Linked DNA regions of Struthio camelus. The protein of the gene in region 2 purifies or fractionates together with the protein of the main gene of each other region. This does not show direct contact. Links are inferred from orthologs where the notes say so. Each region holds a gene or a part of one and is shown on either strand. Other genes may lie near its edges. The genes, in order: COL5A1 and MMP2.

Region 1 (15,674 bases), on a different chromosome or scaffold from region 2:
AGGGCCCTGAAACTCAGACAGTAACCCAGTGGCTAATTGTACCATGTTGCCAATCTAAGTGTTTTTTCCATATAGCATTGGATTTTAACAAAGATTTTCCATTCTTGCATGCTCCTCTTGCCTTTTTTGGTTTTGGTCCCTTCACATTTTGGGGTTTTTTGTTTCACACAAAGGTTTCTATTTACAGACTTTTTTTTTTTTTTTAAAAAGAAAAGACTGGCCAGCGTGCAGACTCAGCATATATCACATGTGCTCCACTCTAGTTAGTAAGAATAAAAGCTTTGATATGCAGCAAGGCAAGACTGCAACTGGAGAACAGTCCCAGGAACCTCTCTTGAACAAGCCAGGAGGGCAGAAGAGAGGGCTAGCACTGCACTGATCAACTGCTGAAGGTAAAAGCAGGTAACTGAGGGAACCCAGCAGGCAGAGGAAAGTTTTCCTGAGAGCCTGGCAACTGCATTCTGCTTATATCAGTCAAAGATGTGCACCCACAGTTAACCAGCAAAGCTGCTATCTTAGAGCATTCCTATGGGCTTTGCTGATGTCCAGCCACAGGGAGACACAGCTGGGCGCTAGCAGAGCAACCTGCCTCTGAAAGAATCCTCTGGTCCTCAGGACACTCCAGCTAGTGCAGAAGGCTTCAGCTCAACAGTAAAATAAATGTAAGTATTTCTGACTGGTCCTGCACACCCTACACCCAGAAATCACCTGGAAAGGATTTCTGTCTCTGGACCTTACCAAAACCTTCACCACTCACATCTTCCTGTCCTGGTCTACTTCATCCTGGACACAGGATCCATCTGCCCATAGCCTTCCTACAGCTAGCACGCCACTGACCTAGGGTGTGCGGCAGGTCTTGCGACGGCTCCACTAGCAGCCCTTTTCAAGCAACACCATTTAGGGTGGAAAGCTCTTTCAAAAATCTCCTAAGACCTCCGCAAAATAACACCACCCAATTAGCAAAGGATAAAAACCCACCAATATCTTCAAACTGATACTCCTGACAGCTCTGTACAATAGCTGCACTCCAAAGAGGTCATAACTGGATAAAATTCAAATAATGAAAATAATGAAAGAGCTAAAAGGAAAAAAGAATACTAAACAGCCCTGATCAAGAGGGACATTACTAAGTGCAAAAAAGCCTCTGTATATCTTAATAAACTCAAAGTTTGGAAAGAAACACCAGCAAGAAGCGATGTCTTTTATTGCATGGGATCTCCCTGGGGACTCCCCCCACTATGCCACCCATCACAGGGAGCCAAGGGGGAAGCCACATGAGAGGACAGCAACAGCCAGCATCTTGGCCTGACGCGTGCCATGAGTCACAGTCCCTAACAACCATCACTTGCCTTTACATAGACCTATTGGGGGGGAGGGGGGGGCAGCTGTCAAGTGCACAGCAGGGAGGCAATCCACCTTATAACCCCATCCAGGATTTCCAAGCAGCCTCCTCACTTCCAAATTTTTATCTCAAATTCATGAAGGCTAAACCAGGGCTTTAAGAGCTTAATGAAAGGCCCTGCGTGCCTACTCAGATAGTACAAGCGTAATCAATAAAGCTCAATTTACATACTTCAGTACCAGGTACTACCACTTAGATCAAACAAGACTTGCAATAAATCCAGGACAGAAGGTTGCACTCCAGCACCACCAAGACACTAAAAGCTAGAAAAGACATACATGTGTAGAGCAGGGAAACCAGCAGAGATAGATATTATCTAACATAATTATTCTCTTCTTTAAAACAGCAATTGCCATTTACCAAAGCCTAAGCATTTAAAAGTTATAATTGTGTTTTCAGCAAAACACAAGTGATGTTTTAAGTCTTTCTCTGTAAAAGAACTCATTTTATAGAAAGATAGCTGCTTTGAGGAGATTCCTACCAAATAACCAAGCTAGAGCATACACGAACAGGCATGTACATATGTGGGAAAGTGTCAAATTCATGTGTAAAACAGCAGGGACCTCCCCCATCTCAGGGACTGCTGTGCTTCAAAATTCATGTTTTGCCTTAGTGTGAACTCTAAATGTGATCATTCTTCCCAAATGATCCCAAACCTTGGGCCTATACTCCAAATTGCTTTATATACAGACAGGCCCTTATCTCTCTAACGTAAGTAACAACCAGCAGGCCAACAGAGAGGCTCTTAATTCAACTATAGGGAAGCTCTTTAAACCCAAGCAGCACCAGCTACAACAGGCACACCATCTGAGCACGATCAAGCAGGAGTCCCATCACAGCACCTCTCCACCTGCAATGCACTCACCAATATCCCACAACCCCGGGCTCAGCTCTCCACTCTCCCCTCATTCCAGATCCTCCTATCCTCCAGATGTTTCTACAGGCAACCACGCAAACACACAAATAGCAAAACCATGAATCACTGTGGTGATGCCCAATTTGAACACTCATCTATCTCCTGTTCATCACCTCTCTGTTGGCCAGCTGGCCTGGTCCCCCTTCTCCCACCGCTCCAAACATTTCTTTGCACAACAGCAAGTAAGACTGCAGGTCTGCTGGGCCAGAAAGCTTCTAATCCTCAACTTGCTCATGTGGAAACGTTCACTGCCCTATTGCTCAGTGCAGTCTTCTAAGTTTGATACTTTCTTGTCTATAGAAAGCAATTTGCCATCTTCCAGCCGCTCTGGGAAGGACTACGCAGTATCCCACACTGCAACATGTCCCCAGCATCCTGCCCACTCGCACATCACAAGCGCTTCACTAGCGACCATGACCCAAACCAAATAATCCTCCTCCCAGGCAATAAGCACAATATCACAGCTTTTCACAAAAGGAGAGATTTTTAACTCAACAGGAAAGCAAGAGCACAGTGTCCTTAAAGCACTTTCATCTCTACTACACTACTGGCATGCTCTCCAGCAGGCAAGGGAGAGCTCCAGCCAAGAGCACAGGAATTACTCAGGACTAGGGATCTGGGTAAGCATACATTATTGCACTCGTGGACAAAGGTCAGTCTTAAAAACACTCAGTTCTTTTACAGACACCTGCCAATTCCTTATCTTTTACAACCAGAACCAATTTCCACTGAAGCCAGCAGGCAACTTTCCATCAACATGAAAGAAACCTGGATCAGGCCCTATGAACACAGATATTCCATTCTCCAACATTGAACTTCTGCTCCAAGAAATATATTTGGAGTTGAAACAGATTAAAACAAAAAGTGTAGGGAGAGGGATGGGGCATGGAGCAGGAGGGAGCACCAGGGCATAAAACAAAAAGTAAAAGAAGTAATTGCCAAAAAATTAAATGGGCAATTTGCTCTTCCTCTGCAGAAAAGAAACTCAGATTGAAAAGCAGTTTCCTTGCAAGTCCTCCCACAGGTTTATTTCTGAAGTCCAGATGCAAAACCTAGACTACCTAAAATACATCTATAAACGGTGCTTCATACAAACGTGCCTGCTTTAGTGACGTATGCCATAGCAGCACCGTCTGCCTCTTCACATCTGTTGCCACGCTGTGTCTCCTTTTCAACGCTATCTGTAACTCAAAGCAGTTGTGAGAAAGCATACTCGCTTTAAAACTACAAACTGAAGCCAGGCTTCAGGACACATGGGGAAACTTCGAGGCCAGGACTCTGCACCAAAGTAGAGGGTCAGGCAGCATCAGGACAGAACTGCATCTTCAGTGCTAGAGGAAAATAGCCAGGCAGGTGCTGCATGTTAGGCACCTATGGCCCATTAGGGGTCTGGACCTTGGTCCTGGGACAGTGGCAGAGAATTTCCTGCCAAAACTCTGAGAAAAGAAAAGCTACTTCAAAATTAAAAGCATTATGCTGAGTATCACACACAGCACAGATGCTGGTAAATACCATCGGTGCAGAGAAACGACATGCAAAACAAGCTCTCTTCGGAACGACCTTTAGACCAAGCCCAGTTAATAAGGACAGCGTAGTTAAGATGACCAAGCAGAAGACAGAATTGGGAACACCACATAATTGATATCTAATACTTAAAAGGATACTATAATTATTTCATAAAATTATTTTCTATGACATTAGATAAAGGAGGGATTAACTACCCAAGCCAGCGTAGCACAGACCTGTGGCATAAACTGGAAGCTGGGCTCTGCGCAAGGCCTGGCTTCCTCATGCACACACCCCCTCCTGGACCTGCAGCTCCACATCTGGATCACATCCCACAGCACAGGGGAAGAGGAGCTTGGAAAGCTGGAACCACCAAGTCACCCAAGGGCTTCTCGCTGACAGATGTTAGCGCATCCCCTGCAACACTGTTCTGACTTCCAGTGGTCATGAAACAGAATCTGACTGATGAGATTTGCTCACCGTTAAAAAGAACAAACCCGTAAAGGAAAGCCCATCTCCTGAAACTACAACATGCAATGGGCAGGGGGCAGTACCCACTTAAAACAAGGACACATATCCCCTTTACAGTCCTTTCCCATTTGTCCTAGGGCAGCCTTCATATCTTGCAAGCCCTAGCACTAAGGCCAATACAGTTTGGTTTATCGGATTACCCTTGGTTTTAAACAGAGGTTTTATCTGCAAAGACCCAATACTGGATATCTAACATAGTGATACCCATCAAGAGGTAATCTTCAGACTAGGAAAAAATGAGAGCTCAGTAGCCAGAGTTCAATGCCAACAGATAAAGAGTGCACACTGTTCCGCCTCTTCGGACACCAAAAGTCAGTTCACAGTCCCGAGACTGCAACTCCCGCACTCAGCAATTCTGCCTGACTGCAGGGAAGAGATCAGCGAGTAACCTTTAAAAACTGCCTCTAGAAGGGAATAGTTTGAAAAGATTTGTCATCACGTCCCTAGTTTATAGAGAAGAGTAATATATCGCTTAAGTTGAACGCCTCTGGTCCATCCTCTGGATGGAGCATGTACAACAGTTGCGTTTCTTTTAAGCTACAAAGTCGTGTTCCAAACAGGCAACACACTGACAGCATAATCCAGGTTTTACACTGGAAATCAGATCCATCACCAATTCCAAACTTAAAGTCATATTTCTTCTTATAAAACAATATCAAGATTTTTCAATTGGCAAAATATTAAACAAAACTGTTCTATCTGGCTGAATACTAAGAATATTTTTTAAGCTCCTTCTAAAGGACTGGGGAACAGCCAAGGAGAGAAGCAACAGATGGTAACAAGATACTTCATAATCTCCACTATTTGTATTTCTTTTAAAGGACATACCATGTATTCTCATTATACTTTTCTTTGCCACTAAAGGAAACTGCTGCTTCCAAAAATTTTTGTCCAGAAGCCTGATTCAGTTTTATTGGGATTTGTTAGAAAAAGATACTCCAACTTTGCGGGTTAGATTGGAGCGTGACATCATCTGTTTAAAAAATGAGAAAAGTATGATTTGGAAGGGCAGCGTTCAGCTGCACTTCACAGTTCGTGTCACTTCTGACATAGTGAAGCGTCTTTGACGGTTTATTCTGGAAACCCTTGGGCTAGCTTTCTTCCCCCTCTTTTCTGCACAACCTGACTGATGTGTTTCTGAAGATTTTAAGTGTTTTGCCTCACTCCATACAGAGGGACTGCCTAAAATGAAACTGAAACAGAAACAATCTGAGCTGATAAAAAAAACAGCTTGGAAGGCTAAAAAAGAGCTCTAAAGGGGTATTAGTCAATGCCATCAGCTGTCCAAATCTGACTCCTCCCTCATCTAAATTGATAGCCTATTAGGAGGCTCATTAGGAAAATTCAAAGCCTTTCACTGCCAGAGTCGCTGCTCAGAGCGGCAAGTTGGCCCTGCAGCAGCTCTCCAGCCTCCCACCGCATCGCATCGCTGGCTCCAGCTACACAGACCACTGCTTCCCAGAGCTGCACCCACAGCTGTGACAGAAGTCACAGAAAAGTTACCAGTAACTTTAAAGAGTGCTAGGTCTTATGCTGAAGCTGTTCAGAGAAGATACACTGACAGGCAACGTTCCTAAGGATGCTCTGAAACCACTGAAATACTAGCACAATGACAGAGGGCAGAAAAAAACTATTATTTCCTTTGAAACAGCGGAGACTAGTAATAATTCAGCTTCCAGCTAACAAAGTAACAGTGGCCTGATGCCACTGGCTGCATAAAAAAAGGGGATTAAGTTGTTAGTACTGTTCCAATAGTCTTTAGTCGGAGAAAACTGCTCTAAATAATAATCCAATGCTTTTGCAATACAATACAATCTCTTCAGTAACTCTGACTGCCATTATTTTTTTTTCCTAGCAGTGATGTACTAGAAGCATTTTATTCATTGGTGAACAACTTCTTTCCATCTTGCTCAGAACTTGCAAGCAAACTGTTGACGAAAGCATTCCTCGTGCTACCGCCTTTTATTTTCTTCCTTAAAGTTATTTTAAGAGCCTAGAAACTACAATAATTGACAATTACACCACTATATAACAAAATTCCCCACACATTTGTCCCAGTAACATACAAACAACCCAGCAACTACCACCTGCTGAGCTTCCAGGATAGAAGAAAATATCCAAAACTTGCATGAACTTGAGCATGAAAGCTCAATCTCGGGCAGATCAGCTATTCCGCATGCTTTTAGCTTAGTTTCCTAAGAATCCCACAAAACTCTTATCTACTTTAACTTTGCAGATTTCAAAATCAGCTCTGCCCACAAACCACTTATTCTTTCTAACATTATTTAAAATGATCTCAGAGCATGGATGCCTCCCTAGCATCTCCCACAGCCACAGAAAATACCCTGAAAACAGAACTTTTGGAGTAAATCCACAAGTATCCATCTATCCTGCTCTGGTATTTCACAATTCACCACGGGGAGCGCAGATATTTGGAAAGCGGAGCCCTTTGAAACACACAGGGTAACCGAAGCCTCCAGCTAGCAAAATAAAGTGCTTAATCCCTTCTTCGGCACGACTTTTAAAATGACATTTCAGGGGGGTTTGCTGCCGTTTTGCCTACCTAGGACTGTTTTGCATCTCGTTCTTCACAGCACTTCCTCTAGCCACAGTCGGCAGTAGTAATTTGAGGGAGAAACGGCAAAGTTGGGTTAGGGAAGTGCAGAGGGGACAGAGTGTGTGCCTTGGAGTCCGGAGCAGAAAAGTCGGCAAAGCTTTTGTGCACCGAGATCTGCCGCTTTGAAGCGGGGAGAGAAGAGCAAATTCCTTCTCGACAAAAGTTTCCTCTCCTCAAGGAGGAGGAGGAGGAACTATGCACGAAGAGAGTTTTCCAGTTAAATATACACATGTATTCACACACACGTATAAATACACACATACAAACAGAATTAGAAGCTCTAGAAACACATACTGACTTCTGCTCCAGAAAAAAAGCACAGCAACAGGCAGATCTGCTTAAGACGAGGGGGGAAAGCATTGTTTTAAGTTTTTTCCCTTTTACGGGCCCCCTGACAAACGGCATTCAGAGACTCGGGCAGCTAAAGGGTTTTTTTCCTCTCTCGCTCGCTCTTTTTGGAAGGCATCGAGTAAGAAAAGACAAACGTTTTGCAAAGCACAAAAGCCAGCTCTCTCTCCCTCTCGCTGTTTGCGCCAAATTTCCAAAAAAGCTCCAGCTCCCCAAAGGCTTCCTCCGTACGCGGGCGACGCTCGCGCTCCCCGCGCGGCCGCTTACCTGCACCGCCCAGGGACGCGGCGCCCAGCAGGAGCAGCGCTGCGGGCACCGGCCAGCTCCGTATCCAGCTTCGCCTTTTCCACCGTGTGTGCGTATCCATGGTCCACAAAAAAAGGGGCACCAGCTCGGGACAACTCGGCAAGCACCGAAAAAAAAAAACTGAGAAAAAGGAGGAGAAAAGGAAGGAGGGGGCGCAAAAAAATTAAAAAAAAAAACACACACACGCGAAGAAAAGCCGCTCAAGACCCCCCCCTGCCTCCCCCCCCCCAGAGAGCAGCCGCTTTATAAAGCCATGGGGCTGTCGGGGGGCTCCACCGCGCTCGCCCCTTCCCCTGCTTGCTGCCGGAGCGAAAACTTTCTTTCTCTCCCCCCCACCCCTCCTTTTTTTCTTCTTTTAAAGCCAAGGCGAGAGTTTGTCAATCTCGGAGCCGCGCAGCAAATCAGAGCCGGGCGGTGCGGCCCCCTGCGCGGCGCGGCGCAGCCCGGCCCCCCCCCCGGCCCGGCCGGCCCCCGGCCCGGCCCCCCCGGCAAGTTTGAACCGTCGGGGCCGCGCGGCCGCGGCTCGCAACCCGCCACCCCTTTGTCCCTGCTCGCCACTAGCTTCCCTCCCAGAAATTACCCCAAACCTGAAGGTCTTTGCTTCCCCCTACCCCCACCTCCCCCTTTTCCTTCTGGCTTCAGAGAGAGAGAGATGGAGGCAGGGTGCTTTCAGAAGGGGACATGGTGGCAGATGTCAACGAGGATTTGGCCAAAGGAGGTTGCCAATGCAAAGCACACATGCAAAGGGTAAAAGTGCAGCTGGGAAAGCACTGAAAGGGAAGGCGTTATCCCCTGCCAGGTTAACTCAACAGTTGTGATGGTGAAACGCTTCCCTGGCAAACAGCCAAGGAGGACAGTCAACTATTAAAACTGTTGCCTTCAGGCTGTGCACATCAGTTTGCACACTGTCTAGCCAAGGCACTCCTCTGCTCCCATTGCTCTTCCTTTCACTAAGCTACCCAGCACTGCTCATCTTCACACTCTGGTGACCGCCAATACATCACACTTTGGTAACAAACATCAGCTCCAAATGATTTTACTAGTTCTGGTGCTGTACAGCACTGAAATTAGTACAGTAGCAAAAAAAAAAAACGGCAACAGCCAGTCTCTACTTCCCCACACCACATCCCTTCCCCTGGCACCACCCTCTCTCAGGCCCCAAAGGAGGGGAGGGACCCTCGGCAAGGCAGTGCTAGGTGGCCTGCAATGCTACAGACTCCTTGATAAACCCAAAATCAGGTCATCAGGATACTGGACAGGGTGGAACATCTGAAGGAATAATCAGTACAACAGAGGCTTATGTCAAGCTTCAGCTATTTGTTCAGCGTAAACCTCTTTGGCCTGCTGGAATGAGAGTTTCTCATATAGGTAAGTGATATTAATAGCATGTCAAAACCCATGAGCACAGAAGCCCAAATCCCACCATATCTCCAGAAGGGAGCAAGAGGGAATAGGTGTTCCCAATCAACTCAGCTTGTAGCCTAGTAAAGAGGCTAATGGTTCAGTGGAGAAGAGCCATAGCAAATATCTTCCCATTTACCTGCAAACCTGTTGAGATGCCTTCCCCTGCTAGCAGCCTCCCCATGAAACTGGGAAGACTAGGACAAGAGCCACACAAGAGACTGCTGAGAGATTCTTTCATGCAGAAAGACAGGTGAAAGGCATATTGGCTGCAATCCCTTGAGTCACGAGCTGGGGAGAACAAGATACTCCAAGCACTTGTTTGCTGTAACCACGTGCCAGGCAGGTACAGCACCAGTGACACTCGTGGGCAAATCACCCAGATGAAAGCCCCTTCCACAATACCCCTTTCATGAGTAACCAGATCACTAGAGACAGATTAGGTGAAGCTCCCTATCTGTGGGGAGCCTGGAGGCAAGTTCTTTCAGCGTAAGTAACACCTGGGCCTCCCTGTAAACTTCTCTGCAGAGCACTCAGCAGATGCAACCCAGCAAGGGAAGTGCTCCCCATCTCTATAACACCTCCTGCTCCAAAATACGCCATTTCTCACAGGTTCGCAGCTACCTTTGGTATGGGGCAGAGCAGCCACCCCACAGCTCACAAACACTGTGCAACAGTCAGAGGGAGATATTTTCTCATCTGGAAAAGCAGAACATCCCAGGCATACAGATATGTAACTAGGACAGTTAAAAGAACCAGCAAACTGATTGCAAAAGCCCACCTTCCCGGTAACCCTTTTTACTACAATAAAGACATAAAGCAATAACTTGATCCACACCATTTCCATGGATGCCTAATTTCTTGATCAGAGGCCTAATAACCTTTGAAAGGCACAACCAACCCGAACAGTGAGAGATGGGGCGTTGTCTGATTTCAGTCTTGCAGTTAAGTGAATGCCAGGATCTCGTTAGTCTTCCCATCCCAGAAGTTGCTGGCATTTCTGAGCATACAAACAACCCATTGTTGTGAAATGAGACCCTTTTTGTCTTCACCAGCTGCAAATGAAAATCCCACTAACACCTGGACACTGTCTGCAACTCAGGTGTTGAAATTCTCTGCCCTTTCAAGAGCATACAGCATTAGGAAGGGAGGGAAATCTCTAAAGCAGTGAAAGCACTGCAGGCGAGGAAGTAAAGGCAGGTTAGAGCAGTAAAACACACTAAACACACCACCCATATTCCAAGGGCTCCCACTGCTCAACTCAGGAAGCAAGCCAGAAATAGCCCAAACCTAGACCTTCATCTGATGCAAAGCAGCTTTGCTTTATAGCAGTTGAGAATCTGGCCAAAAAAAGCTTTTTGCACAACAGTAAGAGTTTAGTTTCCAGTTGCTTTCCAGGTGATTTAGAAGCTTGCACAGACCTGTTTGCCCCTCCTCAACAACAACAGAAAATACCAAAATAAGCTTGCAATGGCAAACTGGAAAATTCCAGCATTCTCCTGCCAAGTTTGAGGAGCTAACCTCCAAAGCAGTGGGCCAGATCGTGTGGTGGTGCAAGCAGCAAGTAGATTTACACTAGTTGGATTGGTTCATGCCAGCTCCAAATCCCTCCAAGCAGCCAGTTGGGGCAATAACTGAATATCCAAAAGACTGGATTGCAACAGTGGCAGATGGCCAAATATCTTTCAGGAACAACAGTTATTTTTAAAAGTATTTTCATGACTGAAAGCATCTTGAGTTCAGCTAGCTGTTGTTTACAAGGTGGAGGACACATTTGCAAGCTCTCAAAAAACCTCAAGATGCATAGGTAGAAAATTTGATAGACATTTATACTAGGAAATCAGTTTAACATTAGCATTCAGCCAAAAACTATAAAAGGCATTATTCTGTAGTTTGAACATAACTATTGCAACAATCAGAAAGCAAGAACACTACTAGGAGTTACTGATGACCAGTTACGCCCTATGACCAGGGGATGAGAACAGATTAAAAGCGATACTTCTTAAAACTGCCTGTCTGAGCTGTTGCACGAGTAATCAAAAAAACTGTTCCAGTCAGGAATGATTTAAATGCTCCTTATAAAGAATATCTAAAAATAGTTTCACTCTTTCAATCTTATGCCTGTCTTTATTTTCTTTGCTAACAAATACAGTTGCATCCCCACCCCTAGCTCAACCTTTATGAATTATCTTGTGCTGAAGTCATAATCCTGACTTATGACCTCACACTTGTTGCCATGGCAATGATTGCTCTCCTAAATTCAACTTATGACTTAAGAAAAAGTGAGAATTCAGTGCTACTGAAAGGCTTTGGATCAAGAGGCTTGGAAACTAAAGCTGTCATTTATCCACAAAGGAGATACCATTCAGAAAAGCTTCATGCTCTGATGACATTTATGGTATTAATAGTCACATGGATTTTTTTTTTTTTTTAATAATTGTGCAGCAAGTAGCTGTTATAGCAGACACCATGGCTGCTATATCAGATCCACATGCTCGCGCCCTAAAAAGTCCTTTATTCATTTCAGCAGGATGACTCATTGCAATAGGTATTACTCAAAAGGAGCAAGCATGGCAAAGCAGAGCAAAGGGTCTGGCACATAGGGTATCCTGACAGCTTACCCCATGTCTCCAGTCTCAGCTGCACTGTTCTGTGTGGTCCTTTAACTTGGGCAAAATGTTTACTGTACTGACTCAGGTCTGTACGTATCCATTTCTGGCCTGGTTAAAAGCTGCAGGGCAGCAGCAGATTCCCCAACATCTTAAACCTCTCTGAAAACATTCTCTCAAAATCATCAAACCAGCTTTTATACAACGCCATAATGAGCAACGTTAATAAATACCTATTGCAGTACTTCAAAGGACACGACACCAGAAAACGTAACAGTCAATAATACTATGTTTTAGCTGAACCTTAAGCTGGCTGGTGACATGATGAATGTAGCTCCCAAATGTGGAAAACTCAAAACTCCTCCCAGGGTTAAAGCTGTTTCTCCAAGATGGACAAGACAACAATAAAAATAACACTCCACTTCTGTAGTTAAACGCTTGTTTTGGCTTTTCAGGCCAATTTCTTTATGAAACAGTTAGCCCTGCAAGAGTCTAGGAGCTGGACAGGCAATTCTTCCAGATTTCATCTGCTCTGGTGGAAATTTAGAGCCGACTTTTGCCATGGGGTGGCACCAGGACAAATCCCACCAGAAGGAAAGAGCATAGTGCCGCCAACACAAGGTGGGGCTTGTTTTTCCTTATGTTTAAATGTTTCTCATAGTCAAAGAGGTTTGTTTAATAGAGGAAATATCTTTATAACGAGAACAGACTTTCCACTCCTCCTCTTTTTCCAGTGTTGTTGCCTTCTCTTCAGTTTAATGCTAATGACTCCAACTCTTATGTGTTCAGACTGTGCTGGTGTATCAAGCACAGCAGAAGGGCAAAAATTGCATGAAAGTGCCTATTGAGAAGCATGAACTCAGTTCACCTTCTTAGATGAAAAGGTAATAAAGGTCAATTCTTTTCACTCCCAACATCAGCCTGGAAGACCCACAAGAGAGTTGCCATTCCCTCTCCCATCCCTGCATTTCACTTCATGCCCTGTGATCTATGGTCAGATGGCCTAGGCTAAGCCCTCAGAAAGATAACCCATGGTGCTACAGCAAGTGTCACACTGACCACAAAGCTGCACGTTATCATCATAAAGAACTGATTTACCCTATGATCTTCACAAGGGTCAAAAATGAAGATGTTCAAGTTACTTAGACCCGCACTGACCCCAGCAACGGTTTTGTTGGATACAGATTGCAGAGTTAATTTTTTAGCTTAAGTTTATCCATCATAATCATGTATGTGAAGATCAAAGGTGAGCCCAAACCACAAGATTTATGTGCAGGGTCAAAATGCCCCACTGACATTTGTGTCAAGGAGTTAAGTTTGGGTGCCCCTCCAGTAGGAATATTTTCATCTAGAAGACAATGGTGTTTGTTCTCAAGCCTTGCCACAAGACAGACTTAACATTTTCCCCAGGGATGAAGGCAGATGGGCAGCACTCAAACAGATGACAGCTTACACTTTGCATGTTAACAGTGATCACAAGTTTACTTAACACACCATCACAATATATATTTTTCAGCGATTGTTAGCTTTCCCCCACATGGTTATTCCAAGAAGGTGGATGAGCATTTCTGCTGGTGGAGCCCAGTTTTGAGAACTGAGGCCCCTCTCTGTGCTGCCTTAGATTTCCTCGAATAATAGTCAGGACAGATGTCAGCTGTGATTATACCCATCAGCCTTCCCTCACTACCTGCTTCTTCATGTCTTCATCATGCTTTTTTTTTGCCAAATATTCTATGCACAGTTATTTGATATTAGTAAAGACCGGGTTCAGTGGCTTCTAAAGATGAACAGGCTTTAGCGCCATATCAAGGAAAAGCCAGCATTTCATTCTCCCTTCCACAATTAGCTACAATTCGATTCTTAGGCAGAGGTTTTTCCTAGTGAGAGATTTGCAGAATCCTACCCAGGAAAACCCTGAACATGAAATATAAGTTACTAGAAATCTTGGGTTATCAGACTGAATACATTAAGTCAGAAACTGTAAATATTAATCTACAGGATGTGGAATAACTTTTGCAAGCATGGCTTTAAAAGCAGGGCAATCTAGCCTCTCTGCCCTGGAAAGATTTCCTATGAAGAAAAGTTTCCAAAGTGTTTGTGCTTTTTTTTTTTTTTTTTTTGGGGGGGGGGGGGTGAGGGGTGTTATAGCAGTTCCATAGCTCTGTATTCCCAAAAGCAGGCATGAATCTTGCAGCTCATGCCACTTGCACTCAGCAAGTGACCAGCTCAGGTCTAAGCATATGAAATCTGTGAAGGGTATAACACCAAAGAGGCAGAGTATTAAGCTGGGCATAAATAGGATTGTGGTTGAAAATTCAGCAGCATAAAATTCGGACTAAACTGTTAGGAAAATCCTTACATTAAGATCTAGTCAGCTATGGAAGATCTAAAAGACTTCCCAAAGGAAGTGATGAAAAATCCCATTGCTTGAGTCATTTCAAATTAGTCTGGACAAAGCTATAGACTGCTGAGAACAATCCTGCCTAGCCTGAGTGGGTTAGATGACCAGAGAGATCTTTTCCACTGAGGGTTTCTGCAGTTCAGTAATCCTGAAAAAATGTGGGTGAATTTCACAAAGCATGGTCACAGCACCAATAGACAAGCCTCATGCTCCTGGCTCTGCTCCCACCAGCAAGCTAGCTAGAGTCTTCTCATCTCAAGCCCCAGGCTGCTGGGATGTGCTAGACATCCTAGCATGCCTTTATCTGCTTTGTTCATGGGGTGCACACACTCTTCAGGACAGGGAACTTCATTTGCTAGGCTTCTCCCCCACCACAAACTGGCAAAAAGTCACCGGGGCAGGTTTTACCACTGTCCAAACATATCCATAATTGGCATCATTAATGTGTTCTACTAAAGTCTAGTAGCTGATTAAAGCAGCTGGGTACTTCTTGGTTGTACCAGCTGACAGTCCTCTTTCCTCCTCTTTTCTGAGGAAGGATTAGAGGATGAATAGATCAACTTCAAACTTAGAAGGGAAAACATAGATGAAAATTGCTTGGAAAAATGAAATCTAATATTCCTGTCAATTCACCACATAGCAGCTTGGAACTTGTGTTATTTCCATTTATAATTTTACATTAACAGTTTCATTGAAAATGACACATTCTGTAGATTCCCCTTTGCTTTTGCAAGATTACAGGTTAATTCCGCTGAGTGCTTCTGGAGAGATAAAACCCTTAATTTTGTCTTCTTTTCCTTTGTTGAAGTAGTGGTTTAGAAATTATAATACAAGGATGCTACAAGCACCCACCCATCAAAAAGCAATTCATACAACAGGCCACAGTCTTGGTATGTCTAAGCTACTTTCTAAACAGAGGGGAAACAAAGTGTCAGGCAAAGTAGTCATTTTTGTGGATGAATCATTCAAAGAATCCAGTCCAACTACCTAGTGGTCTCTGACATGACTAATTTTTACTTCTGTCTGCTCAGTGTTTCCAGTAAGTCACCTTCTCAGATGCATCAGCACCTTGCCACAAGTCCCCACGGTAACTTACTCCCTTCCCCCCACCAGTGATGAGTTTTCCAGTTTGGGGAACTCGTGGGTAAATCAGCTAGCATGTCCTAAGGTGCAGATCTCAGCCAGAACGTGTCAGATCCCTAACCCTTAACAGCCAGGGACATGGTGTTCATGCCCAGATTATATACCAATACACTATTCCTGACCACCCCATCACATACTAGTGCTGGCCACAGCACCGGGTTAATGCTCCAGCTTTTCAGCAGGCGGCTCTCACCTATAACAGCCTGAAAGCCTAAACTCCAAAGCACAATCACAGCCTCAGAGTTTTGTCACCCCTCGTAGCCCTGGGAAGCCGTGTTGCGCTCCTCAGAGGTGCTGCAGACCTGTGTACAAAATTATCACCAGATATCTAATGCATATAGTCAGCTCCTAAACATTAAGACAGACATAACTGCACAGCCAACATTTGGGGGAAATTAAGTTGGCATGGAGATTTACTCAGTCCTGGCAAGAACTTTTTAAAAACTGTTAGCAATCACAATAGGAATCTAGCACTACCTTTCAGAGACAAAGGC
Region 2 (15,867 bases):
TATTGAGGCTACCCGGCTTCCCAGTCAAGGAGTAGACCCCATCATGCTTACTCACATCTTTCACTGCAAGATGCCTCGTTAAGATTAACAGGATCACTGACAAAATACGACGTTAGCCAACATCAACATGGATGGCAGGATCTGTCCCCAGAAGTACTTATGATCATGCTGAGTTTACCAAGCTTAGGCAAATAGAGCAGCAACAAGACTTCTTTCTTCTGCCAAGCCACCAGTGGTGTGGAGTTTCTCTTAAAAGTAAATTAGCTCTACATATTTTATCCATAAGATGCATTTCACTTTCAATTACAGAAGCCACCAGCCAGAAGCATCTCCCTTTCCTTACAAGTAACCCCACTTATTTTTTGGAGTCACTTCACAAAGTGAAATAGCACTCAACAAAAATAACTAGGTATTTTTCCCATGTTGAAACTGTCTGGGAAGCCTACTACAATAAGTAATAACCTCATTTGTAAGTTACTGTGGAATCAGACCCTTGTAAATAAGGGAAAGAGCCAAGAGCTACATGAAAAGGGAAAAAGGGAGTGTATAAAATCAGGTGCTAATAGTCATGATTTTTTTTTTGAAGGAATACAAGTTGATGCACACTTTTATGTTGTATGTTGAGCGCATAGGTTTACTTTGGAAACAGCTCATTTACAGATGCACTCTCCTCAGAGAATGCCAATAAATCAAGACTAAAAAAATCCTTATACAAATTAGCTTGACTCATTTTCCTAAACAAAGGTTTCCTCGTACTCCTCTGCAATTGAAAGCTTGAAACTAAAACCTTTCCTTACTGCACAGCTGAGGTGTGGTTTAAATTTTGTTTTCTCTCAGTGCACAACAAGATGCGTGGGCAGGCCAGACCTGCTGGGGCTAGCAAGCAAGGCCCGTGAGAACGCCAGGGCCATCTTGTCGCTCGAGCCTTTCTTTCATCAAGCCGCTTATCTTGACTGATAGGCCAGCATGACCCTCTTTAAACTCAACAGCCCTGCATGCTAAAAAGGGAGTCCTTCAGATTCACAAATAATGAAAAACATATCAACACACAATTTCGCAGTATTCCACACAAGTTGTTCACTCTGTGATCTCTGATATTAATTATTATTGTATAGAAACTATTCCTCTGAGTATTTTCACAGATTCACCCTGAGGGATAGCCTTATTTTGTGTCCCACTCATGGGGGTTTAGGAAAATTTCCACATCATTGTCATGCTATTGAATATGTTTAATAGATCTTTGTAAATACTGGACCTCCAGGCCATTTCTATATGCCCCCTAACAGGTTATATTAATTACACACTGTCAGTAAGATTTGATTTATGTTGCTTTTGCCATCAACTTGTCCCATTAATGAATAAATTATATGCTTTGCATAATATCTGAATTGTTATTAGTAAACAACAGAAGAACCTCCACAGCATCTGTGTACCCACTTGCTTCATTATGTACATCCATATGACTATGCAAAAACTCAGTTTTCTACAAAAAAAGTACGGCTTAAAAATAACAACATTCCTGAAAAAAACACCCGGAAGCAAAAATGCCCTTTACAAAGATGCTATGGCACCAAGACACAATGAAGTCTTTGACTTCCTGAAAGACAATTCTGGGCTACTGTCCAGCTCCGGCTCCCCATCAAGCTGATGGCAAATGTTCTGTTGGCTGCTGGGAAACCTTAGCAGAACCGTTCACCTGTGTTTTATGGGCTGCTCCTGAAACCTAGTCCTCAAGAATACAAATCTAGAACATGACCATAAAAGCATCACAAAAGGGTATTAGTAGAGCACACTGGAAAAAGTGGGTCCAAAAGTCTCCTCTCAGATTTTCTAATTCACCTAGAACATTTGAAATCACATAAGAGCTAGCAGGGCAATTTCACAAAGCTTCGCCAAAACACCATTCCCTCACTTTCTCTTACAAAATAAGCAAGTCATTGCATTTTTCATTTGCTAAGTGTCTTTCCCCAGTGGTACTGAAGGAAAAATTCTGGTAAGAGTTAAACTTCTATTCTTCTTTGAAAGCATCGGCAAGGCCTACGTCTTCAAAGGAAGGCCAAAGAGACCCAAGTATGTTCACACTGGATGAAAAAAAAAAAGTACAATCTCTCCCTTGCTTTATTAAACTATGGCTTTTTTCATGAAAGTACCATACTTTCGCTATTTCGCTCACTGGCAGAATTTTCACCAGAGACACATTTCTCTTAGTGACCTTAACAGTTAATAGCTCAGGCATTTGCTGCTTACTATAACCAGTGTCTAAACAGACACCTAGAATATATATTTTATTTTTATATCTATTACATTAATGATTGAAATTTTGGGGAGAAGAGCGGGCAACGACCAAGGAGGAGTAGTGGAAATCAGTTTGTAACGAAATCTGTGCAGGCCTCAGAATTTCTGAATTAACTAGCTAGTAGAATGTTCAACAGCAACGAATAACCAGAACGCCACAAATTCAAGTGAAACGAACTCAGACGATCTCATTTTGTCGTACCAGATACTTGAAACTAAATAATTAAAGGAGGTCTGAACTACGCTGCTCAGAATTAAAAAACTGAAAAATAGGAAAATGTGTAGAGATGACAGAAATTTCTCAACCGAGTTTGCACTTTGAAGCTTCCCTCGAGTGTGTGCCAGCGTTAGGTAGGCACACAGACGTTGGCGCTGGTGCCACACGTAAGCTTGGCCTGGGGTTTCGACTGAAGTCGCTCAGCGTAGTTCCGCTGAACCAATTCACCCAACAGAAGCTTTGCAATGGCAATTGACAGCAGCTGAGGACACAGGCTGGAATTTCTGCTTCAGACAGCAGTATAATGAACATATGCAATGGAAAATGCCTTGTCCAGAGTAACAGAATTACCAAAAATTCATTTCTAATTTAGCAGCAAGCTAACAAACCAAATCCATGTGTCAATGGAACTTCATGTCCTTAGGACCTAACTTCCCAAAACAGAGGAGATGAGAGAAACAAAAGCAAAAATATAATTGCTACCTTAAATGCTGAAAATCACATCTGGCACCAACTGCTGGCCCTTTGTACGTTGTGCCCCCTCATCCCTCCACCCACCCACACAGATTTCCAACAGTTTAAAGACTCCCTCATGTGGCGGTCGGATACTGTGAATGTGGATCACAGGGGTTTGAGCCAGCACTGAGCAGGCAGACAGGATATCCAGATAAGGCAGATATAAATGACGTGGACAGTTAAGTCTTACGCTCCCTGTTTGGATCAACTCTTCAGCATACGAGTCTTAGGTGAGCTCCCTTGACTGCAATGTAAATGAGCTCTTGCTGAAGTTATTAATCCTTTTAAAGTCAAATGGGGCCTGCTCTGGCTAATCATTGCTTCCTAGAGACATCTTTCCTGTAATGGATAAACTGCTAACACGATGCCTTTCGCTATTCCTACACAGGTACACGTCACCATCAGTCAACTGCAGCAATTGGTATTGCAGGCACAGAATAAAGCAGGTGGCAGGTACTTGCAGCTTATTGTTCTCTGGTGCAAAACACCCAGAAAAAAAGATGTATTCCCTTAGTATACTGGCATTACTATCTGCACAGATGGTCCATCTTTAGCAGCGGTATCCCTAAGGAAGCAGCAGTGAGTAGACAAGTGAGTGCATCCCAGGTTTGGCTGAGCTTCAGGCTGGCACCACTCTGGAAGCTTTGCTAGAAGTGCAGTGGCCTACAAGCCAGACATGGGAAACAGTGTCAGCTTCCTTTAGCTTAGGTGAATCCCAGGCTTTCTTCCCGGAGCTCTTTGGTTTTCCCCATCCTTATAAACTCCTCTTCCTCAGACAGGAAGGGAGGAGGCACTGGAGTGATGACCCAGAAGAACTTGCAGAACAGGATCAGGGCACAGAAAAAGGAGTTGCAAGGCAATCCTGGCAAATTGAGAAGGAGCCAAAGACCTGGATAAACTGGACCTGGGACAGCCCCAAGGGCACCTTTCCTCAAGCCCAGGCAAACTTCTCCATCACCTAAGCTTCAGGTCTCCCACTCCCTTAGAAGTTCTTCATGAAACACCCTTAGAGCGCAACTCTGACAATTTGCTGTTGATTTTAACATTTGATTTCTTTTTGAAGAATTCTGCTAAAATCTATGCAGGTCCATCTTCATTAATCAAATGGTTGGTTTGTTTCCTAAATGGGAAGCTATAAACTGACAGCTCAGAACCTAGAAGTAGCAAATGCAAGAAGGGGATATGTAAGTATAGCAAGAGCTTACTTGGAGATTCACCCTCCACTCCACCCTGTTATGGGCAGGTGACTCTGTCATCAGATGATCAGGCACTTTCTTGCAACCTTAATTTTCCTGATAATTATTTATTTATTTAGCCTAGTAAAAGTTTTCAAGTTAAAACATGAAAACGCACTAAGAATAATGAGAAGCCCACTAAGAATAAATCCATTATCCTCCCATGAACTGTGCTCATTGACACTCCACCTAACATATTTCTCTGGAACCACAAGGAAATCACCAGCTTTTGACATAAGTTTGGAATTAGTGACAGTAGGAGTTGCTACAGTGCTTTTCTGGGATGACTTACTCTGTCAGCAAATTACCCAGAACACCACCTGAAGTCTAATCCTGAAACTGCTGAGCACTCCTGAATCACTTCAAAAATAATGCTCTGAAAACAGAAAAATCCTCTGATAAAAACACCATGTTAATACATGCGCATGTGTCTGTTATCACAGTTCAACCTACTGAGATATGAAGCTTACAGCTTAATAACGCAAGACATGATGACTCCCTCTTTGCCATTCTTCCTGAAGTATGTCCTCAAAAGAGGCATCGGACATCGCCTTAATGTGTGGTTTCTGCCATACAGTTCCTATTAATGCATAAAAGTAGGCATTTAAAAAGCAAAGCTGGCATCTTACTCATAAAGTAGGTGGCTCTAAAATTTGGATATGGAGCAGTTCTAACCTGAAACAAACCTGGTTAACCGGAGAGCAGGGTTCCTCGCTCCTGAATCAGGAGAGACCAGGCATATAACATACATTTCTTCCTTGGTATGGAAGCTACACGCAACATTGAAGTAAAATTTTTCCACAAATAAAAACAAGGTGTAGCTGTAATTATAACTGTGTTCGCTTTCTGTAGCTAATCCAGAGGTAATAAATATGTACATAGACAAAATATTTTACAGACTGAGCATTAAGCTAAGAGAAAAAAAGATCTAGGTTTCTCTTTCAGCTCTTCCATAAAGTTGCTAGATGTGTCTTCTCAGTGGGTCCTCTTCCTCTGGTTTTTCTTCCCCCCCTCCCCCTTTTTAACTTCCATGAATCTATTCAGTAGTCAGTAGTCTATATAGGAGATAATCTCTGCAGAGTATAGAGGGTTAAGGAATGTTTATGAAGTAAATAATAACAGTAGTCAAACTCTCAATCTATACTCGTCAAAAGGCATCAATTTAAATGCTTCAGATTCTGCCTGGTTTTAAGCTTATCTAGTCAGAGAACAGAATGCAGATTGTGCCATGTCATTTCAAATTCAGAAAGGCTGGTAGGATCACAGAATAAGTCAGGCTGTAACATCTCGTTCATCTCGTCCCACCCCAGCTGAAAGCAGGGCCAGCTACGAGGTCTGAAATTCCCTATTTGGGCAGAATTTCCCTATTCACGGGATTCAGCAGCACTGCAGAACCAGGCGGAAGAAAATCACCTACAAAGCACGCTGAGGACAGGATGATCCCACAGAACTTAACAAAAAGTGTGAGTAGACAAGAAATATTTAAACCAGAATTTACTCATAGCATGGCAGAACTCCTTCTCTCACAAAGAAGCGTCATTAGCATTTAATTTGCTTTGATTACCTGAAGATGGCACCTCAGTTACGATCTTGTAAACTATTACTGATCTCAAGCGGTCACAGATAAAAAGGCCTTTCACTGAATGATCATAAAGTCAATATATGGGTTTACCCAGTACTCACAAACCCAATATTCTATTATTTATTATATTTCCTAACTGAACATAATTTGTTTCACTGCTCACTAGCTGAAATAGCACCAGCAAAGTAGTTTGCCAGCAAAATTGCAACCAGAGGTGAGAAACAGCATTCCACTGCAAGTCTGTATGGTTTCTGTTGCCTTCCTCATTTCTTGAGGTAATTTGTTTAAAAGGTGACCTCCAGGTCCTCTCCCTGCCAGCAAAGTTAAGAAACAAAATATAGTGAGATTTTCAAACTGCAAGGGTCTCACAGACCATTCCCAAGTGGCTTCATCCATTTCTGCGGCTATGTTCATTAGGACACAAGGAGCATGTTGGAGTGTTCATTAGGTTTCAGTGAGGTTTATGAGCGTAACAGGAATGTGCCAGGACACATTTAGCTTTAAATGGCTTCATTATAGTACCCTTCAAAATGAAAGCTACCAAGCTACCATAAATTAAGTTAAAATTCTTATGAAAATGAGATAGTTCTTATGCTCTTAAGATTTACAACAGCCTCTGGCCTACTGCACAACTTTGTGATGCAACATGTAATATTTTTACTTGTTTAATTAAGGATAAGCTAAGAGTGACTTGGCACATGCAGTGAAGGCTTCCTTAGCTTTTGTTCTCTTCCAGTTTCCTGTGGCCAAACGCAAACAGGAGCTGTCATCATAAACAAAGCAGGAGAGTCGTTTCCCTGAACCAAGTGCCGGGCTGTGGAAAAACCGGATCAAATTTTCAGAATTGCTCTTGATTAAGGCAACTCTTAGAAGTGACTGCTTTCTTTGCTGAAGAGGAGGTTGAAAAAGGAGATGCAATTTCAAAGCTGAACCGTTAGGGGAAAGCTGTTCATTCATTTAACTCTGGTGCCACTGGACTCGCACATGGAAGGATGAGAGGGGCTTAAACGCAAAGCTACTTTACACAGAAAGGTCGCTCTGCATTTGAAGTTTTTTAACTCCTCTTCCTCTCCTGCGTGTTAAGTGCTGCTTCCCACAGCTGATTCACCCAGGGGCCATACAACTGCAGTGGTTGATTTTCATCCGAATGAATTCTTTGAGCAGCAAATGCTTCAGCTAGCGCTTTCTCTCTGAACCACCTGGCCCACAGTCCGAAACCCTTGCCCTTGTAAGACTACTCAGTTCAGGGATGATCGGGTGTAGGTAGCAAAACTGATATTAGAGTAAATCACAGAATTGTAAATATTAAATATTTTCAATCAAATAACAAAATATTATGAATAAATACCAAATAGCCGCAAAGTATTTCCTTTTCATTAACAGACCTATTTGGTAACAAGAGTCATATCCGCAAAGCTGTCACCGGTAACGTTCAGAGGAAAGCCGTAGCAACCTCTGTGCTGACACACGGCTCAGAGGAACCTTGGTGGTGGGAATGAGGGTTAATAGCCCCGGTTCTGTGACATGTGGCTGGCTAGAACACAGTTTTCATTCATGCAGAACTGCCAGCCTCCAGTCTTAGAGAGTCATGAGCCAAGCCCCTAGATTAAGGATATTCAGCTAAAAAAACATTCAGCTTGCAGTAACATCTCAAAGCTGGCGATATTATGAACGAAACAATAAGAAGACTGTCTGTGACGATGGCCACATTTGTACCAGTGCTTTGACTAAGGCAGCTACAGCAATGGACCAACCTCCTGCATAAGCGAGTCGAGAATTTGGTACAATTCCCCCGACATCAACTGCTGGAGATCATTTGTATTTGCCGAATCTGCCCGGTTCTCTCTTACTCCATAGAGAGACAGGGGAAGGTGACAGACCAAGCTCGCAAGGTGAATGCCAAGCGCCTGGGAGCCCTGCGCACGCAGCCCTGCAGCCCGCGCAGCCTAGGCGGGAGCGGACGGGCAGCGCAGCCTCGCGCGGCTCCACCGCTCCCTGCACGCTCTGCCTCAACATCTGTAATCAAAATGTTGACTGAAAGGAGAGAAAGCACATACAACTAGAGCAGATTCTCATGTCTGTGGCAAAAAAAGGGGCTAAAAAATAATACAAATGCTTAGCCGAGAAAGTAACGTTTAGGCATTTTTTTAAAACGTAAAATGAACCCAGGACACTTGAACATTAGCTTAGATTTTGCCCTTTGCTGCTCTCTGGCATAACTAAATGTGTTCACATATGCAAACAAGGAGAAAACGTGGCCTCTTTCAGCAGTAATAAGTATCTGCCTGTTGCTACCTTAAAATCACAGCAATCTCAAATCGTAACTGCCCTTTTCTCATGTTTCCACTAGTTTTCAGACTTCCTCTTGTGGTAGCTTGAGGCTGCGCATCTGGATGTTTTAAACATACAAAGGAATTGCTAGAGCAAGCAAAAGAGAAAACGGTGCAGAGAGCTAAGATGTGCAGATAAGCAACTGGTGTACCGTGCAGCTAAAGTAACCGGTCGGGAAAACCTCTCTCCAAGGAGAATAGCGCAAGTTTAGGCAGAATGAAGACCCACATTGTCTTTGGCTTCATTTTTAAAGTACTATTAATCCACGTCTATCTTTTTAGCAAAACTTTAGCTGCACCGTCACCAATCATTAAGTTTCCTGGAGACAGCACTCCAAAAACAGACAAAGAACTAGCAGTGGTAAGTCTTGGTTTCGTCTTTGCTTCAGATTTCTATTATTGTTCTTCATAAGCAGATGTTTCTTTCTTGTTTGAGCAGAGGCTAGGAAACGACTGTTGCATTCTCTCGCTGGAGTCTCTGGAAGAGCAAGCTAGCTAGCAAAGGTATCAGCTTTCAAAAGTAAAAACTAGAGCCAAGTAACGTTTCCTCTCTTAAAATTTTTAAAGCCAACAAAGAGTCTGGTTTTTTTTTTTTTTGCCTTAAGTCCGAACATACAAAATAATTTCACTAAATCACTGTGACTATAGTCAAAAGACTCCAACAGTTAAGAGGGGAGAAGGGCAAAAAGATACATATAAGATTTGACTGAAACCATTTAGAACGGAAGGTTGCGGAGGCACACTTACATAAAACTGGGCTTAATGCATGCAGCACATAGCTTTGCAGAATTTTGTTTTCCAGGTTGTTTACCATGCATTGCATAAGCACAGCTTTAAGGAGCAACTACAGCCGAAAGCTGGCTCGAGTTTCAGAAGCCATAATGACTAGTTCTAAGTTTGAAAAAAAAAATCTTATCACAGCTTTGAAGACATATTCTTCTCTAAATTCGATCTGGAACAAAAAAAGGAGTTTAGGTTTCTGAATGTGACATTAGGAAATTACAGCTATAGCTCTACAGCATTTTATTCTAACCTTATTTTAGCCCTGTGGACCTTCATAAAAATGACATTATGGAGAAGTCCATTTAAGGGGAGATTGAGATGGATTATCCTTATTTTAGCATGTAAATTATAGACATTTCTCTTCTTCAGCAGTAACTCCATTTTAAGGAAGATTGAGATAAATTATTCTTATTTTATCATATAAAGGGTTGAAAGTTGGTCACTTTTCTTTAGGAGCTGGTATGCATCTTGGGAAACCTTGCCAGGTTAAGGGAGGTCGGAGGGGGGATAGAGCGAGAATCTGCAGACAGGGGGGCGGGGGAAGCGGCAGAAAGTTTAGGAAAAGCAGACAAACTGACCCCAAAAGGGCTCTCCTCAGCACTTAAAATCATCCAGGGTTTTGCCTTGGCAGCATGACAACCAGAGGATGGGGGCTGCGTGTGTGGGAGAGGAGAGTGGGGTCACACATGTCTAACGGTAATTTAACCACGCTTAAATAATCTATTTTCTTAGACACAGTCAGGCTTTTATTCAATTACAGCAATCCACGTCTCCTCTCATCTTTATTTCTCTCAAACAACCTATTTATTATGTGTACTCCGAGGAAAATTACAAGCTGTGTTAACACTGCAGCTCTTCTTTGTCTTTGGTGCAGTATTCTTGGGTGACGCTAACTGGCTGCCTTTCCCTCAGCCCCTCCGTGTGAGCAGCCCCAGTACTCAGGAGCAGGACACAAATTGCTGTGTTGCAGCTGGACCCTGTTTCATTAACGGGCTGGATCTAAATTCCAGATCACCACAGCTCCCTGCTGACTCCGGGGAAACTGCAGTTTGCAGCGTAGGCCAACATGTGGTTTACAGAGACACTAAATTTTCTTCAGGATTCTCTTCTCCTAGAACAGCTGGTTATGTTCATTTCTCATCTTCAGTAAAATCACCATTTTAGGAAAAACTGAGAGGGCTTAGGTTTATATTTATAATCCTAGGAAATAAAATTCTTTATCATGCCTCATTTTATATTGCTTTATATTATCATGCTCCCAAACCAAAAATGGCAAGAGCAGTATGCTGCTGCTTCAGTAAACTTCAGTCCTGATATGTGGTCTGTTCTGTGTCACGGTACTTCACTGGGAGATACAGACAGAAGCATCATATAATATGTCAAAAGTACCTCGAGATTAAAATCATAATAGATCCTGCAAACTGGCCTGTTTGTGCTCTTAACGCACTTCTCATCATGCCACTCGGCCCCATTAACTATGAGAAGCCAGAAGAAACTCAGTCACAGCAAAGGTGAAGCCGGTACAGGATGTGTGTGCCCGCTGCTTGCTAGTGCAGCTGTCTCCACTGGAGGAATACCCCATCAGAAGAAGGTGTTACAAAAAACATAAAGAGTAAGCGCAGTCTGTGCTCAGCCAGTAGATGGATGGAGGACCTTCCAAAGGAAATGGTGTAACAACTTCAGTAAATCTTGACCTCTGTTTAGCAGGCAGCCTGTTGCGTAGCCACATTTTGCTATTCCCCTGTTAAGAGCAGAGCTGAAAAAGGATTTATCCTTCCAGGTGGAAGGATACACCTGGAAGTTTTGTTGGTTGCTTTTTTTCGGGGTCATTCTTTTTAGTTTGAATGAGTAGGTTGTTATGGCAGCTGTCACCTCGGGCTACAGACTGCCAGACAGGCTCTCAGGGTTGGTCCCTTCCCCAAGAAGTCCACAGTCAGTCTGTCAACATTTGATGTTATGGGGAAAAAATACTAAGTTGTTTGGGTGAGGTCACTTTGTATTGCACAGAAGGTGGTGATCACGTATGGATATTTGAGACCACAGCTGTGTACCTACAGTTTAGTTTAACAGAAGTACGCGACGCAGCAATACGCATCTGAAGGACACGGCTGCTTACCTGGAGCAATTGCCAGGGAACAGACTAAGCCACAGCTCCTCCGCCGTCACAGGCGGACTTACTGCACTTACACAGCACACCTGGCGGTGTCTGCAAATCACCTCCAATGGTTAAAAGGGAGGAACTGACATCTCCTAGCTCTTGGGCTCACTTTTTTTTTTTTTTTCAAACTACTGCTGTTCCTGCTGATTAGGTCATACTGAATGAAATGGAAGTGGGATAGAGCTGTGCTTTTAAAATTATTATAGAAAAGACTAGACAAAATGGATTTGCGCTGCCTTTTTGAACCTTTATGACTACTGTTTTCTAAGAAGAGATAATTTTGTGGTCTGTCACCTTAAAGATGTATCAGAAAGACCATCATCTGTTAGAGGACTCAGTGAAGATATTAAGCAGACATTGATGGGATAAAGGTATCCAGGTGATTGAAACACTGTCAAAGACTTTCTTCCTCAGGTCTGTGCGATGGTTGACTCAAGAGCAAACACATACAACATTCAAATAGCTCTATGCAGTTTAAAAACAGTGTTTTTTTCTTCTCAATTAATGTGGTCTCATTTGTGAGGTTTCTTTGATACCTTAACTTGACAAGACCCTCATAATCCATAGAGTCTTCCAGGAGAAAAAAATATACAAAATCTAAAACTGTAAGCAGATTTATACATCATAAAGAAACCAAAAAAAGATAAAATCATTTTTACTTTGTAGTTCTACATTAAAGCTCTATGCTCTACTTATTAATAAAGCAATTCATTAAGTAAAGGTGATAGCTATTAGAGGGAATGATTGCTTAATTAGCAATGTTGTGTGATCAAGGATGGTTTATGTCAATTAAGGTGATTCTGCTGCTCACTCAGTTACTAATAATAGTAATTTTCAAAAGAAAGCTTGCAAATTACAGATGTGAAAGTTGACATGGAATTGCAGTATTTATTCATAGTGATTAATTCTCTCCTTTATGAATTTTAAAGTCTTTGTTCTGTGCCTTTTTTTTTTTCCAAGCAATACCTGAACAAATACTATGGGTGCCCAAAAGACAATTGCAATTTATTTGTACTGAAAGATACTTTGAAGAAAATGCAGAAATTTTTTGGGCTGCCTGAAACTGGAGATTTGGATCAAAATACTATTGAGACGATGAAGAAACCGCGCTGTGGTAATCCAGATGTGGCCAATTACAACTTCTTTCCAAGAAAACCAAAATGGGAAAAAAATCATATAACGTACAGGTACTGGCTAGCACTGTTGGTTGTTACGCATACGTATAACAATAGACTGCTTTTAAGAACCAATTAAATGGAGTAGTCAGATGTATGGTAGTGCTTGGTAGGCCACATAGGATTTCTTGAATGATTACCTCTGTGTTTGGATAATTACTGGATGCTCAAGCAAATACCTCTGAAATTTCAAATTGTAAAATTTAAGGAATAATAATCTAAAGCTCAACTTCATGGTTCTGGTTGAGAAAATGAGATGTTGGTTTTGTTCTGTGCTCTGCTGCAAGCATCCTGAGGGATCTGGAGCACAAGTACCCCACCGACCCGTCCGCTCAGCAGGGCAAGAGTATTTTGCAACTGCAGAGCATGTGTAGGAGGACCAACTCCTCTGTATTCAGCAGTCATGAAAACAGAGGTCATCAAACACTTTTTAAAATAGAAGAAATAACACTACTGCTCACTTACCAGTTGCTGTTGATTGGTCTCTCATGTTATACTTTTCAACAGTCAGGAACTAGATGAAATAAAATTCTACTTAAGTAACCAGCTGTAAATGAGAAATGGTCAGCAGCAACGGGAGTAAACACTGCTAAATAAACTGCAGGAGTTTATTAACTCCTCTAAAACTAACTCTTCATGTTAAAAATCTAACATCTAATCTAACCGAAAGACCTAATACTCTAACTACGTGAGGAACTTAAAAATTTAAAAAGAAGTAAAAAATGGTATATTCATTATGCCCATTATTCCTAACAGTTTAAAAAGTCTCATTTATGACCATAAAATTCTCTAATGACTAAGAGCAGTCAAGTTACCCCAGTTCAGTAAACAACTGTACTTACTTAATCTTGTTTCCATACTCTTGACTGTGGCAAGTACAAGGCATTTCAACCACCCATGAAATAAGGCTAGACTAACATAAACCATTCAGGGATTGAAACAGCCCCACATTGCCTCACACTTGTCACAGACTGAGCACATACGTATGACCACTAGCTATAGGTCAAGTAACATGCCTACTGCAATAGGTTTGACATGTTTTCATATCTTACTACTACCCTAAAGAATTAGGGACCAATATTGCTCTCATTAAAGTCAATAATAAAAAATCCCATTGGCTTAGGCGTCCAGGAACAAACCTTTAGCATCGGCGAGAGCAAGCAAGAGTAGATTTGTCTTAGCTGCTTTGCTTGGTCTGGTGCTTCTTTGCTAGTTACGACTCAAAGCGTTCTGCAACTAGTCTAACGGACTCTGACTGTCGGACTGCGGTCGCGCTCCAGCCTCCTCATACTGATACGTTCCTCTGATAACAATTTCCTTAGGCACAAAGTAGCTTCATTCATTACGTGCAGCAGCAGCAAAGGGTGGGAAGCTTCTCCTTAGAGGGAGGTTAGCTGGCTGCAATATAAGGCACTAATAAGTCCAACTAGAATACAGCAAGAAAAAGGAAGCAACGTACTTATGAGCTTGCCCCTCTGTCAGGTCAAGTCTACGACTTCCTCTTATGTGCTTTTGCCTTCTTCTGCTGCTTCCCTGTATTTTCTACTGGCAATGTAATTGGCACGCTGGTGAAGGATTAACATTCATTTACCATGAAACAATATACAGCTACCTAGGAAGGTGAGGGAGAAGGGCTGTTGTCTCACTAAAGAGCAAAACAATCCATTCTAGAAACCTTCAGAACTATATTGAACTCTCTTCCGACACAGAGGAGGCTCAAGCGCTCTGACAAATCAGGGATGTGCTTATATGTTCAAGTCTAAAAAGTGAGCAAGACTTGCAAAGTCTTTAAAAAGTTTACGAAAATGTAAATCTCAGTGGAGCAAAAGACCATCAGGTGTTGTCTTTCTAGCACCTCAGCACTAATGTAAAATCCCAAATATTTTGGTCAAGGCATGCAAGGCTTGCACTGGCCTGCAAGTTTCACAGCCTCTGGCTATATAATCATTTTTCTTTATGCTGCTGTATCATTTTGAAGCAAAATAAACATTAAATGCCACAAGTAAACACCCTTCTGGACCAGGGGAAATCTAGATCTTATATGCAGTGGTTTCACCCCTCAATCGGTTTCACAGGGCACTCTGCGTTTTGTTCAATAAGCCAGAAATACCGAGAGGGGGTTTACCTGTTGTTTAACTCTTCCTTTTGCCTCTAAGGATTATAGGTTATACACCAGATTTGGATCCCGAGACAGTAGATGATGCCTTTGCCCGAGCCTTTCAAGTCTGGAGTGATGTCACACCGCTGAGATTTAACCGAATAAATGATGGAGAAGCAGACATTATGATTAATTTTGGCAGATGGGGTATATTTTTCTATTTTTACATATGTTTTTGGTTTTGTTCCTTTCATTATTTCTCAGTACTGGAATGATCTACCCTCAATAAGCACTACCCGTGAGCCTTTCTGGCAAACCTTGTCCTAGTCTGCACTTGGCTCATACAGGATAAGATCTAATTTCACTAAGTTTTTTTTTTCTTTCTTATAATTGAGAGAGAGACAGAGAGAGAGAGAGAGAGAGTGAAATATTTATACAATAACCTTATGTTATATTTATCTTTCCAAAAGAGAATTGCTAGGGGCAACATCTTATTTTTAAATTTACCAATCAGAAATAGAACTGGGAAATATTGGTACAGATCTTCAGATGATGTGAACTGGCTTCCCTCCATGGAAGAGAGAGGAATGCCATCAGGCTCTTTATTTATAACTCTCTGCTCAGTTCTTCCAGAGTTAGTGGAAGAGAGGCTAACATGCTGGACCTTAAAAATGGATTTGTGACTTCCAGTTTTAACTCCATAGTTCATCTCTGCTCTTTAGCATAGCAGAACGAAGGCTTGCAACGTATTCTTTAGTCTTGAGGAATTTCAAAGTATGGACCTCAAACTGAATTCTGGTTTGGGTCCAGCTCATGATAGGTGACACAATTCATACTAGTTCTACATATCTTCCAAATTAATTCTAGTTTCTGCTGAAAGAACATATATAGCTTTTCAGTGTATACCCGGGGCATTTTAACTTATTATGGACAGCCACAGAATTTTCAGTACCGATGAAGATTCTTGTGCAGCTAATCACTTGGGAGGTAGACCTTGGAACTGAAGTGAATAGTTTGAAGAATAACTGAGCTCTGTGTAGAAGTCTCCATTTCAAGCTGGTTTTCTTCACTTTAACAACTGATGAGTTGACCTCAAAAGCTTCAGAGATTCTGTACAGTACTCAAAACTTCAGATCCTCATCCAGACTGGCTTGGTTCTCAAAAATGAACTCTTACAAAAGTAGAAGTGTTCCCGCTGGTTTTAGTATTTGCTGATTAGAGCCAGCTCAGAAACAGTGGGGAAAAAAGCTTCTTCCCCATTCAGTCGTTCTTATCACTTCACTGCATGTCAGATTCACAGGATTTGGGACTTCCTCAAGGTTATTCATTGCTAAGCTTTCTCTTAAGCAAAAAATATGCTTTGAAATGAATGCAAATTAAGCATGTAAATGTATGTTAAAAACTGGCCCTTGACAACTGACACATTAGCCAACTGAAATGAATAAACTAAACTAATATCAAGAGACCAACCCCAGCAT

Evidence for each region.
Region 1: the proteins of MMP2 (region 2) and COL5A1 purify together in Homo sapiens (co-immunoprecipitation; 3 studies listed by BioGRID and IntAct, counting the BioPlex papers as one, with this or other methods). This does not show direct contact. The link is inferred for Struthio camelus from reciprocal best matches to the Homo sapiens genes MMP2 and COL5A1.

What each region holds. Positions count from the first base shown.
Region 1 is NC_090961.1:4,289,280-4,304,953, forward strand, and holds the start of COL5A1 (collagen alpha-1(V) chain), read right to left. Parts: upstream 8,084-15,674; 5' UTR 7,688-8,083; coding exon 7,588-7,687; intron 1-7,587. UniProt on the Homo sapiens protein: Type V collagen is a member of group I collagen (fibrillar forming collagen). It is a minor connective tissue component of nearly ubiquitous distribution. Type V collagen binds to DNA, heparan sulfate, thrombospondin, heparin, and insulin.
Region 2 is NC_090951.1:20,207,215-20,223,081, forward strand, and holds the start of MMP2 (72 kDa type IV collagenase), read left to right. Parts: upstream 1-8,171; 5' UTR 8,172-8,392; coding exon 8,393-8,536; intron 8,537-12,076; coding exon 12,077-12,303; intron 12,304-14,447; coding exon 14,448-14,596; intron 14,597-15,867.